3 linked regions of the Sus scrofa genome follow. Each later gene encodes a partner of the first gene's protein in a complex. Links are inferred from orthologs where the notes say so. Each region holds a gene or a part of one and is shown on either strand. Other genes may lie near its edges. The genes, in order: USP39, PRPF4 and LSM5.

Evidence for each region.
Region 2: USP39 (region 1) and PRPF4 share a complex: the UniProt entries of both Homo sapiens proteins name them as parts of the U4/U6-U5 tri-snRNP complex. The link is inferred for Sus scrofa from reciprocal best matches to the Homo sapiens genes USP39 and PRPF4.
Region 3: USP39 (region 1) and LSM5 share a complex: the UniProt entries of both Homo sapiens proteins name them as parts of the U4/U6-U5 tri-snRNP complex. The link is inferred for Sus scrofa from reciprocal best matches to the Homo sapiens genes USP39 and LSM5.

Annotation. Positions count from the first base shown.
Region 1 is NC_010445.4:59,132,532-59,136,180, reverse strand, and holds part of USP39 (U4/U6.U5 tri-snRNP-associated protein 2), read left to right. Parts: intron 1-864; coding exon 865-932; intron 933-1,985; coding exon 1,986-2,174; intron 2,175-3,649.
Region 2 is NC_010443.5:253,904,786-253,908,534, reverse strand, and holds the start of PRPF4 (U4/U6 small nuclear ribonucleoprotein Prp4), read right to left. Parts: upstream 2,278-3,749; 5' UTR 2,072-2,277; coding exon of another isoform or gene 1,881-2,071; 5' UTR 1,741-1,880; coding exon 1,714-1,740; intron 942-1,713; coding exon 764-941; intron 1-763. Other genes in the region: anaphase-promoting complex subunit CDC26, read left to right, coding at 1,881-2,071. UniProt on the Homo sapiens protein: Plays a role in pre-mRNA splicing as component of the U4/U6-U5 tri-snRNP complex that is involved in spliceosome assembly, and as component of the precatalytic spliceosome (spliceosome B complex).
Region 3 is NC_010460.4:40,751,112-40,754,860, reverse strand, and holds the start of LSM5 (U6 snRNA-associated Sm-like protein LSm5), read right to left. Parts: upstream 2,472-3,749; 5' UTR 2,379-2,471; coding exon 2,333-2,378; intron 2,322-2,332; exon of another isoform or gene 1,445-2,321; intron 1,330-1,444; coding exon 1,234-1,329; intron 399-1,233; coding exon 371-398; intron 1-370. UniProt on the Homo sapiens protein: Plays a role in pre-mRNA splicing as component of the U4/U6-U5 tri-snRNP complex that is involved in spliceosome assembly, and as component of the precatalytic spliceosome (spliceosome B complex).

The sequences.
Region 1 (3,649 bases):
GATGTGGGATTATGGCCTGGCTCCCTTTCTGCCAAATGGTCCTGCCACCTCTACAGGTATCTTCAGCCCATGCACACCAGAGCCCTCCAGCTTTTGTCTTGTCAGGATTCTAGAACCCTGTGGTGGCTCCGTTCTCATTGCTTTGGTTTTGCCCTGCTCTATCCCTTAACCTGTCGTTTTCCTTTTATGTCCAGTGCAGGGTGGACATGGTGTCCCTTTGCAGGCGCACACGATTACGGTTCTAGTTTATTTATTTATTTATTTTTGTCTTTTTGTCATTTTCTTGGGCCGCCCTCACGGCATATGGAGGTTCCCAGGCTAGAGGTCTAATTGGAGCTGTAGCCACTGGCCTACTCCGGAGCTACAGCCATGGGGGATCCGAGCCTCGACTGTGACCTACACCACAGCTCACGGCAATGCCGGATCCTTAACCCATTGAGCGAGGCCAGGGATCGAACCCGCAACCCCATGGTTCCTAGTCGGATTCGTTAACCACTGCGCCACGATGGGAACTCTGATTCTAGTTTCTTGAATGTATCTTACTTTATTTGTTAATGTTTTTGTGATTCATTAATCTTCAGTTTCTGTAAATCACTCATTTATTTCAGACGCACTTCATTTTTCTCTAAGGGGCCAAGCCCTGTGCTTGAGGGTCAGTGGGTTTCTTGTGGAGAAGATAGGTATACCATTACTTACGCAAATAATTCTAGAGGTACCAATGTGGCGTATGTTCTGTGTTTAGTGAGAGCTTTGGGTCTTACAGTGGAAGAGGCTGGTTTATTTCAGAAATTGAGGAATTAGGACTGTACTTGGAAATGCTTTCCTACCTAACAAAATTTGCCTTTTTGACTTGGGTTTGTCCAGCTATAGTGACTGACGTCTTCCAGGGATCCATGAGGATCTTCACTAAAAAGCTTCCTCATCCCGACTTGGTGAGTGCTTTGAACTCAAGCCTTGGGCTGATTTATGTTGCCTGACAGGATTTGGAGTGGACAAAGAGATGTCTAGATAACTGGTACAGCCTTTTATCCAGGAAGAGAGAGACTCTTCAGAACACCTGCCAAGTGGCACTTCCCTTGGGTCCCTGTTGCATCGGTGTGCTGGTTGGGGAGGTAGTCGTTGGATATGCAATTGACCTTTGAGCACCACCAGTTTGAGCTGCACTGGTTCACTTATATGCAGATTTTTTTCAATACATAAAACTACTTTGTTTACATTTCACAGTTGGTTGAGTCTGCGGATGTGGAATCTGTGGATGTGGAGGGCCAACTGTGGGACCTAAGCATCCATGGGTTTTGGTATCCAAGGTGTATCCTAGAACCAGCCTCTTATAGATACTAAGAGGTGACTAATTTGAGTGGTCTGGCCACTAGGTGGTGCTGGAGTGTTTTTTCCAGAAAGCTCAGAGACGCTTTCTAGTCCATCTAAAGGCTTTTATTTTTATTTATTTATTTATTTATTTGGCTGCAGCATGCCACAGCTTTATGTAGGATCTCAGTTCCCAGACCAGGGATTGAGCTGGGGCTGCAGTGGTGAAAGCTGTTCTCATGACAATACCAGATCCTTAACCCACTGTGCCACAAGAGAACTCCAGTACTGGGGTATTTAAAGAAAATCTTTCTGAAGATGGAAGCCTAGTTTTTGCATTAATCTAAACGGTTGTGCAGAAATTCTCTTGTGGTGCCTCAGGTTAAGGATCCAGTGTTGTCACTGCAGCCACTTGGGTCACTGCTGCGGAACGGGTTTGATCCCTGGCCCGGGAACTTCCACATGCCACAGGCACAGCACCCCCATCCCCCCCAAATAAAAGTAAAACAAACAGGTTGTGCAGCTGCACATGAGACTGCCCAGTCTCTCCGACACCCTTCTTGGTTCACCTCAATATTAAATGAAGTAAATGAAATAGAAACATGGTTTCTTTTATCAGTGATGTTCTCCACTCTCCTGCCACTCCTTCCCTCCTTTTTCTTATCACTCATTTCTAGCCAGCAGAAGAAAAAGAGCAGCTGCTTCACAATGATGAGTACCAGGAGACGATGGTGGAGTCCACTTTTATGTACCTGACGCTGGACCTCCCTACCGCCCCCCTGTACAAGGACGAGAAGGAGCAGCTCATTATCCCCCAAGTGCCCCTCTTCAACATCCTGGCCAAGTTCAACGGCATCACTGAGAAGGTAGCCCATTTGCACACCTGCCCTGCTGATCCCCCTCTTTCTCTTGATGTTTGTCTTTTTATACTTGGAAATCACCACATGTATGTAACGCTTTTATTTCAAGTGTATTGTGCCTGTTGAGCCTCTCAGACTCCATGCTCTTTCACCCCCAGCTCCTAACTTGAGTTTTAATACCTCTGGGTATTGTGGAGAAAGGAGGGGGTAAAACTCACAAAAGCAGGAAGAACTCCCATCTTTTAAAAAATATAACATCCGGGAGTTCCCGTCGTGGCTCAGTGGTTAACATATCTGACTAGGAACCATGAGGTTGTGGGTTCGATCCCTGGCCTTGCTCAGTGGGTTAAGGATCCGGTGTTGCCGTAAGCTGTGGTGTAGGTCACAGGCGCAGCTCGGATCCCCCGTGGCTGTAGCTCCGGAGTAGGCCAGTGGCTACAGCTCCAATTAGACCCCCAGCCTGGGAACCTCCATATGCCGAGGGAAGCGGCCCTAGAAAAAGGCAAAAAGACAAAAAAAAAAAAAAATATATATATATATATATATATACATATACACATACACATATACACATACACATATACATACATATACACATACACATATATATACATACACACACACACACACACACACACACACACACACACACACACATATAAAACATCTGGAGTTCCCTTCATGGCTCAGTGGTTAACAAACCTGACTAGGATCCATGAGGATGCATGTTCAATCCCTGGCCTTGCCCAGTGGTTTGAGGATCCGGCGTTGCCGTGAGCTGTGGTATAGGTTGCAGACTCAGCTTAGATCCTGCATTGCTATAGCTATGGCACAGGCCAGCAGCTGTAGCTCCGATTCAACCCCTAGCCTGGGAACTTTCATATGCAGTGGGCACAGCCCTAAAAAATACGTGTGTGTGTGTGTGTGTGTGTGTGTGTGTGTGTGTGTGTGTGTGTGTGTGTGTGTAATATTAGTATTAAAGGTGGGAAAAACAGACCTAAAATACCAATAAAATAAAAAAATTTATTCTGGAGTTCCTGTTGTGGTGCAGTGGGTTAATGATCCACCTTGTCTCTGTGGAGCCGTGGGTTTGATCCCAGCCCACTAAAGTATGTTAAGGATCCTGCATCACTGCAGCTGTGATGTAGGTTGCAGCTCTGGCTTGGGTTCTATCCCTGGCCCGGGAATGTCCATATTCCATGGGGGAAGCTGAAAAAGGAAAAAAAAAATTATTATTTAACATTGCTCTTCATTAAGTTAAAAGGTTCTTTTTATCTGCTGAGTTAACTGTTTCTTGGTTTAATTCCTTTCTTCATTTTTGACAAATTTACTCCTTTTTGATTCTGTACTGGGAGAATTTTTTTTAACCTGTTGGTTCCTGCTTTTTTTTTGGCTGCACCAATGGCATGTGGGAATTCCCAGGCTAGGGGATGAATGCTCACCATAGCTGTGCCCCCTCAAGCCACAGCAGTGACAGCACT
Region 2 (3,749 bases), on another chromosome or scaffold:
ACCTGTATAAAAGGTTTTAAGAAAAAAGGTTCTGGGAGTTCCCGTCGTGGCGCAGTGGTTAACGAATCTGACTAGGAATCATGAGGTTGCAGGTTCGATCCCTGGCCTTGCTTAGTGGGTTAATGATCCGGCGTTGCTGTGAGCTGTGGTGTAGGTTGCAGACGCAGCTTGGATCCCGAGTTGCTGTGGCTCTGGCATAGGCTGGCGGCTACGGCTCCGATTAGACCCCTAGCCTGGGAACCTCCCATATGCCGTGGGAGTGGCCCAAGAAATGGCAAAAAAGACAAAAAAAAAAAAGTTAAAAGAAAAAAGGCTCTGGGGTAATGTTAAATGGGTAGGCAGAAAGTATGGCCTTCGAAAGATGCAAATTTTTGTTTGTTTTTTTGTTTTTTTGCTTTGTTAGGGCCGCACTTGGGGCATTTGAAAGTTCCCAGGCCAGGGGTCAAACTGGAGCTGCAGCTGCCAGCCTACAACACAGTCACAGGCTCTTGGGATCTGAACCACGTCTGAGACCTACACCACAGCTCAAAGTAACAGTGGATCCTTTAATCCACATTTGAATGAGGTCAGGGATCCAACCTGCATCCTCTTGGATACAAGTTGGGTTCGTGTAACCCGGGAGCCACAATAGGAACACCAATAGATGCAAGTTTAATATGCGAAGTTTTCTGACACTATACTTGTGATATCTACGTTTAGGAAAGTAAATATTACAGAAATTTTGAGCACCCAAAGTAGAGATGGACTACAGTTTGCATCTTACCAGAGGTTATGTTAATATTCCCTGCTTCAATTCCTGCTTTAAGTCCTTCTTTTCCCAAAATCCCAGACTCTCCTTTGGCCAGCCGTTCCCTCTCCTTTTCTTCCAAACTTCCATAATAGATGTGTGGTTTCTTCACAACAGGAGCGACTAAGTCATCAGGTGCCTTAGTTTTGGTTGCCTGTTAAATCAAAGACCTGGATGAACCTAAAGCTTAATCTCAGCAATTTGCTAGCTTCCCAGAGGATGAAGCTTATCCAGAGCTTCAATCCTATTCCCTCCCCCAAAAAAGACAAGTTGGACACCAATTAAGATGTATCTTCCCTGATGGAGTGGGGCAGGGGGGAGTGTTCCAGTCTCTCAGTCACTTTAAGTTTTGCAGATAGGAAGAGATAGATAAAACTAGTGAATTTCTCTTGTGATTTTTCTATCAATGGTTTGCTTTGGAACATGTTTACTTCATTTGGTTGGAGGTGCAATCTCTTCTTGGGTTTTATGAAACTTTCAGGGCCACTGCTCATCACAGGAGATATCAAGAATAACTGAAATAACCAACGCCATGATAAAGGGGAACAAGTTATAAAGTTACCGGTCTATACAATTCAAACGTTTTCAGACGCGAGGTAGTAGATATGAAGTTAGGAGGCCTCATTATAATCAAGACTGACACTGTCGTAAATCTTGGCCAAAACCCTACTCCCTTTCAGAGCTCCGTTTCTGAACGAGACGGAAGAGGTATTTACATTTTAGGGTTGTTGTAGTAAGAGATGAAAATGACCTAAAACACACTCCGGTCACTCAAAGAAAAACGCTGCTCAGCTCTCTAAGACCAGACCGAGTCTGGCAGCCTTCCTCCTCAGTCCTCCACCGCCCGTTCCCTAACGGCTCTGTTCTGCACGGACCCCCCACCCCTCCGCCCTCCCTGCCCTGCCAGAGTGAGCCGAGATCCGTACCGTGGAGGAGGCTCGCGAGGAAGCCATGCTGGGCTCCGAGGCCGCGAAGCTTCAGCAAGAGGCGAGCCCTACGTTCCAGACCATCCACCGCGCGCCTAACAAAGCGGAATTACGTCCAGACCGGAAGTGGGCCGAGGGCCGAAGCCGCGTCCTGGGCGCCGTAGAGCATGATGGGAATCGTAGTAGGAAAGGCTCTGGGTGCGTTGAGCGTTGTGACACGTACAGCCTCTAAAAAGAGCACGCGGAGGACGAGGTTCTGCGAGGAGAGAGACTCAGAGCAACCTGGGAGGTGTAGTGCAGTTGACATAGCAGAAGATTCGGGGTGGGCGCTGAGGTTCCGGGAAAGGGCTGAAAAGAGGTAGGTGCTTCAAGTCGCGCGCCTCCGGACTGAACTCCGGGAGTGAAACGGCACCTTCCGGGGTCTGCTGCCGCTCCCGGCCCTGCGAAGAGCTTTAAGTCCTCCTAGAGTGGTGGACCATGTTGCCATGGAAACCTTTGCCCCGGACCCAGGAGTGCGGTCCTGTAGCCGCGAAAGGAGTGTGCTTTCCTCCGCTGTCGGGAAGTTCTCTCGGCAGCTTCTTTTGAGCTGGGTGGATTTTCGGTGCATTTGGGCAGTGGCGAAAGAATAAGCTCGAAGAGCCCTCTAGCGCCAGAGTAAAATAAAGAGCCAGCGGAGGAGCCATGGCCTGTGTTTGGTCTATATTACTCGGAGTGAGATGAAGAATGTCAGGCGTCAGGTAAACTGCGCGCAAGCAGCTCTGCACAGCCCTGTGTTGCCCTGGGTGTTGGGGCACCAGAGATCGACAAGACAAGGTTTTTGCTCCCGTATCGGGGGTGGAGATTTTTCAAAATTTATTGTTGTTTCCCGAGCTGGACAGAGCCTCCTACCCTCTCCAAGGGCAGTTACAATAATAATGGCTACATATTTGAGCGTTTACTAAATGCCAAGTTACGTACGTTACAGGCACTTATCTGCATCACGTCATTCAATCCATACAACACCTGAGTACAGATACAAGGGAAGAAGCTAAGATCTAGTGAAAGGCGAAGCTAATTGTCCAAAATCAGTGGCAACAGAATTTGAGTCTCTGCCCTTTGCCTCCAAAGCAAGCACTTTTACCCATTACACTATACTTCTTCATAGTGGTGAGCTTTTTACAGCTTGCGGGAAAGTTAGAATGTATCACAGTTGTTTTTTTCTTTTAAGCATTCTCTTGGAACTTTGGCTTCCTCTTGCCTTTGTCTACGTTGGAATCAAGATCCTATTTGATTTGGGAGTTCCTGTCGTGGCGCAGCAGAAACGAATCCGACTAGGAACCAGAGGTTGTGGGTTTGATCCCTGGCCTTGCTCAGTTGGATCCGGAGCTTAAGGATCCGGCATTAGGGTGAGCTGTGGTGTAGGTCGCAGACGCGGCTCGGATCTGGCATTGCTGTGGCCCTGGCGTAGGCCGGCAGCCACAGCTCTGATTAGACCCCTAGCCTGGGAATTTCCATATGCTGTGGGAGCGCCCTAAAAGGACAAAAAAAAAAAAAAAAAAAAATCGTATTTGATTTAGTACCAAAAAATTTGAAATGTAATGTGTCAGTGTTTTGTGTTGATAATATCATTTGTCTCAGTCCCAGGCTTCATGGGAGGAGGGGAAATTTTATCTTTTGTATACTTCACAGTCCCTAGCTACATCCTAGAAACATGTAATAATCATTTATGTTTGTACATACTTTTTTTTTGCTTTTTAGGGCCGCACCTGCGGCATATGGAGGTTCCCAGGCTAGGGGTCTAATCAGAGCTACAGCTGCCGGCCTGTACCACAGCTCACCACAACACCGGATCCTCAACCCTCTGAGTGAGGCCAGGGATGGAACCCTTAACCTCATGGTTCCCAGATAGATTCATTTCCACTGCGCCACGATGGGAACTGTACATACCTCATTTTATTTATTTATTTATTTTGTCTTTTGTCTTTATTGGGCTGCAGCAGTGGCATGTAGAGCCGAGTCTGCAATCTATACCACAGATCACAGCAATGCTGGATCCT
Region 3 (3,749 bases), on another chromosome or scaffold:
ACCATTCTGTAATCAATTCAATTCTGAAAGCAGATCTACTACTGGTCACAATCTTTATAATTAATATAATTGAGCCATCATTTACATTTTCTATATTCAATTCAAAGTATTAAATACTTTTGATCTGAGCCCTAAGATCCCTCACTGCTTTTAGTGTCTTTTACCTTAAAGCTTTGTTTCCACTAATTTCCTAACAATTAAGGTAATAATCCTACAATCCAATTTTACTAACCTCAGTCATAAAATTTCTATGTTAGTGATTCAAACAGGCAGTGTTTTCTCATACATCATTTTACTGACTCAACAGTGCTACAACTGCCTTAAAGAGAGATTCCCCCTGCCCAATTCTTTAATTTTTAACACTACTCACAATTCAGTGACATCTTCCAGTACCATATCTGAAATTTGGTGTTAAGAAAATATATACCATGTTAAATTTACTCTGGCTTCTGTCTTTGTTCAGTTTTAATTATAACATTGGGAGTTCCCATCATGGCTCAGTGGTTAACAAATCCAACTAGGAACCATGAGGTTGCGGGTTCAATCCCTGGCCTTGCTCAGTGGGTTAAGGATCTGGCGTTGCCATGAGCTGTGGTGTAGGTCGAAGATGTGGCTTGGATACATCATTGCTGTGGCTCTGGCGTAGGCCAGCAGCTTACAGCTCCGATCAGACCCCTAGTCTGAGTACCTCCCTATGCCGAGGGAGCGGCCCTAGAAAAGGCAAAAAGACAAAAAATAAAAATAAAAAAATAACATTTAACATAATGACTCAAATTCAAATTGCTTGCGATTGGTAGGGGTACACACACCCCTTAAAACACTACCACGAATTCCATGAGAATAAATTAATTTTTATTATAATAATCAGTAAGCACTGACTATAGTTCTTACTTTTTTAAAAAAAACTGAAGATGGAGTTCCCGTCGTGGCGCAGTGGTTAACAAATCCGACTAGGAACCATGAGGTCGCGGGTTCCGTCCCTGGCCTTGCTCAGTGGGTTAAGGATCCGGCGTTGCCGTGAGCTGTGGTGTAGGTTTCAGATGCAGCTCGGATCCCGCTTTGCTGTGACTCTGGTGTAGGCCGGTGGCTACAGCTCCGATTCGACCCCTAGCCTGGGAACCTCCATATGCCATGGGAGCAGCCCTAGAAAAGACATAAAAAATAATAACAAAAAAAAATTTTTTTAATTAAAAAACAAAGAAAAACCCATACCCCCACTTTTTAAAAGGATACTGACAAAGTCATCAAATCCGAGAAGCGTGCCAACAATCTCTTTATCACTCTTCATCACAATGTGAATTCTTGATCCTATACACTTGTCTACAAGCTCTATAGATACAGGTTTTTTAAAAGAAAAATAAGTGGGGGGAGGGGTGAAAAAAATTATTTTGCACATTCATTACTTCAAGAAATATGTGAGTACTTACTGGCACTTATTACTTACATATGGTGAAAGATAAACCAAGAAAAGGATTCACTCAAAAACTTCAGGTCTCGGGAGTTCCCGTTGTGGCGCAGCAGAAACGAAGGCCAGCAGCTACAGTTCCAATGGGACCCCTAGCCTGGGAACCTCCATGTGCCTCGGGTGCGGGCCTAAAAAGAAACTTTTTTTTGTTCAATGAAGGAAAAAACTTTCCAATTACCGCCACGTCCACTAACTTAATTACCCTTCAGATACAAAATATTAGAAAAAGACATAACTGTCTTCCCCAGCCCCAAGACGGCTATCCTCTGTTCTCTGAGAGCAGCTTGAATATCTCTTCAGCAGAATTACTGTTACTTGGTATGATGTTTAATTGTCTGGCATCCTGTCTCCTGCGCTGGCATGAATGCTACCTGAAGCTAAGTTACGATGTCTAGTCTACAGATGCGCAAAAACTGTTTGTGGAATAAATGAATGACAATCAGAGCTAATTTCCAGTGTCCCCTTTTAAAGCTCATTGCAGACCCCGCTACCTCTCTCAATAACGGGCCAGACAGACAACAGGGTCTAACCTAGGGATTTTAAATGCCAGGTAGAAGAATGGGACTGCTATCCACTACTGTAAAGGCGAACTCACAACAAAAAAGGCCGACGACGCATTCACTAAGTGTGAACCTTTTCCAGTGACGGTTTGGTGTGAGAACTCAGAAAGTCCTGGCTCAAGAAAACCCTTCCACGCCGAAAAGACGCGGGCGGCCTGAGGCCTCAGAGCCTTAGAGCCCAAAGAGCCGCGGATAAAGAAAACAATTGGTCAGATACATTTCTCTAACACTCAGTCAAGGACTGCGCTGGCCCTCGGCCCGCAACCCTTCAGCTCCCCTCCCCAGCTCCCCACAGGACAACGATTACCTAGAGGTAGCAGCTGCGACGGGTTAGTCGTAGCGTTAGCCGCCATGGCTACGCCGGAAGTGGCCAGCCTCTACCGACGTTGGGAAGGCGAGTTTGAAAGAGCGCGCTTCCGCTTTTTTCCCCTAGCCCGGCCAGGCTCGACCAATCTGAGGCCGAGCGTGCGATCGGGCCAGTCCTACGTGAATCGCTCGGAGTCACTTCTTTCCTCCGCAACGAGATCCGGGGGAATACATCAGTGCGTTGAACATTCTGCGGCCTCAGCAGATACTTTGCCCTCCAAGTTTCCAAGACAAATTAAAGATATCTTGCCTTATAAATAAAATATTCCTCAACCTGGAAGACTGCAAAATAGAAACGTTTGAGTCGTTTGATTTTCCCTGGGTTATATTTCATTTCAACCAAGGATCTTCTGAAGACCAACATAAATATTTTTTCCGCCACTGATTTTATTGTGTTGCAATTTTTGTTAAAAAACAAAAGCAAAAACTTTTTTTTTTTACAGGAATCTACCGCTTTTTTTTTTTTTTTTTTTTTTTTTTTTCTTTTTAAGGCCACAGAGCAGATACATGGAAGTTCCCAAGCTAGGAGTCAAATCGAGCTGCAGCTGCCGGCCTAGCCACAGCCACAGCAATGTGGGTTTGAGCCGCAGCTCGCAGCAACAAGGGGATCCTTAATCCACTGAACGACCCCAGGAATCCAACACACGCTCAGGTATACTAGTTGGATTCTTAATCCTCTAAGCCACAAAGGAGAACTCCCTACCTTTTTTTTTTTTTTTTTTTTCTTTTCTTTTCTTTTCTAGGGCTGCACCTGCAGCATATGGAGGTTCCCAGGCTAGGGGTCTAATCGGAGCTGTTGCTGTCAGACTACGCCAGAACCACAGCAACTGCCAGATCCAAGCCACGTTTGCGACCTACACCACAACTCAGGCACAACGCCGGATCCTTAACCTACTGAGCGAGGCCAGGGATCGAACAGGCAACCTCATGGTTCCTAGTCGGATTCCTTAACCACTGAGCCACCACAGGAACTCCCCTACCTTCTTTTAAAGGTTCAGTGTAGGAGTTTCCATTGTGGCTCAGTGGTAAGGAACCCAACCAGTACCTGGGGACAGGGGATTGGATCCCTGGCCCCACACAATGGGCTAAGGATCCGGGGTTGTCATGAACTGCAATTGTAGGTCTCAGACGTGGCTGGGATCTGCTTTGCTGTGGCCTAGGCCAGAAGCTACAGCTACGATTTGATCCCCTAGCCTGGGAACCTCCATAGACTGCAGAGTGCGGCCCTAAAAAGACCAAAGGAAAAAAAGTTTGCAAACCCATAGCTAGCTTTAAAGAAATACTTTTCTGGGGGTTCCCCTCGTGGCTCAAAGGTAAGGAACTGGATTAGTATCCTTGAGGACAAGGGTTCAATCCCT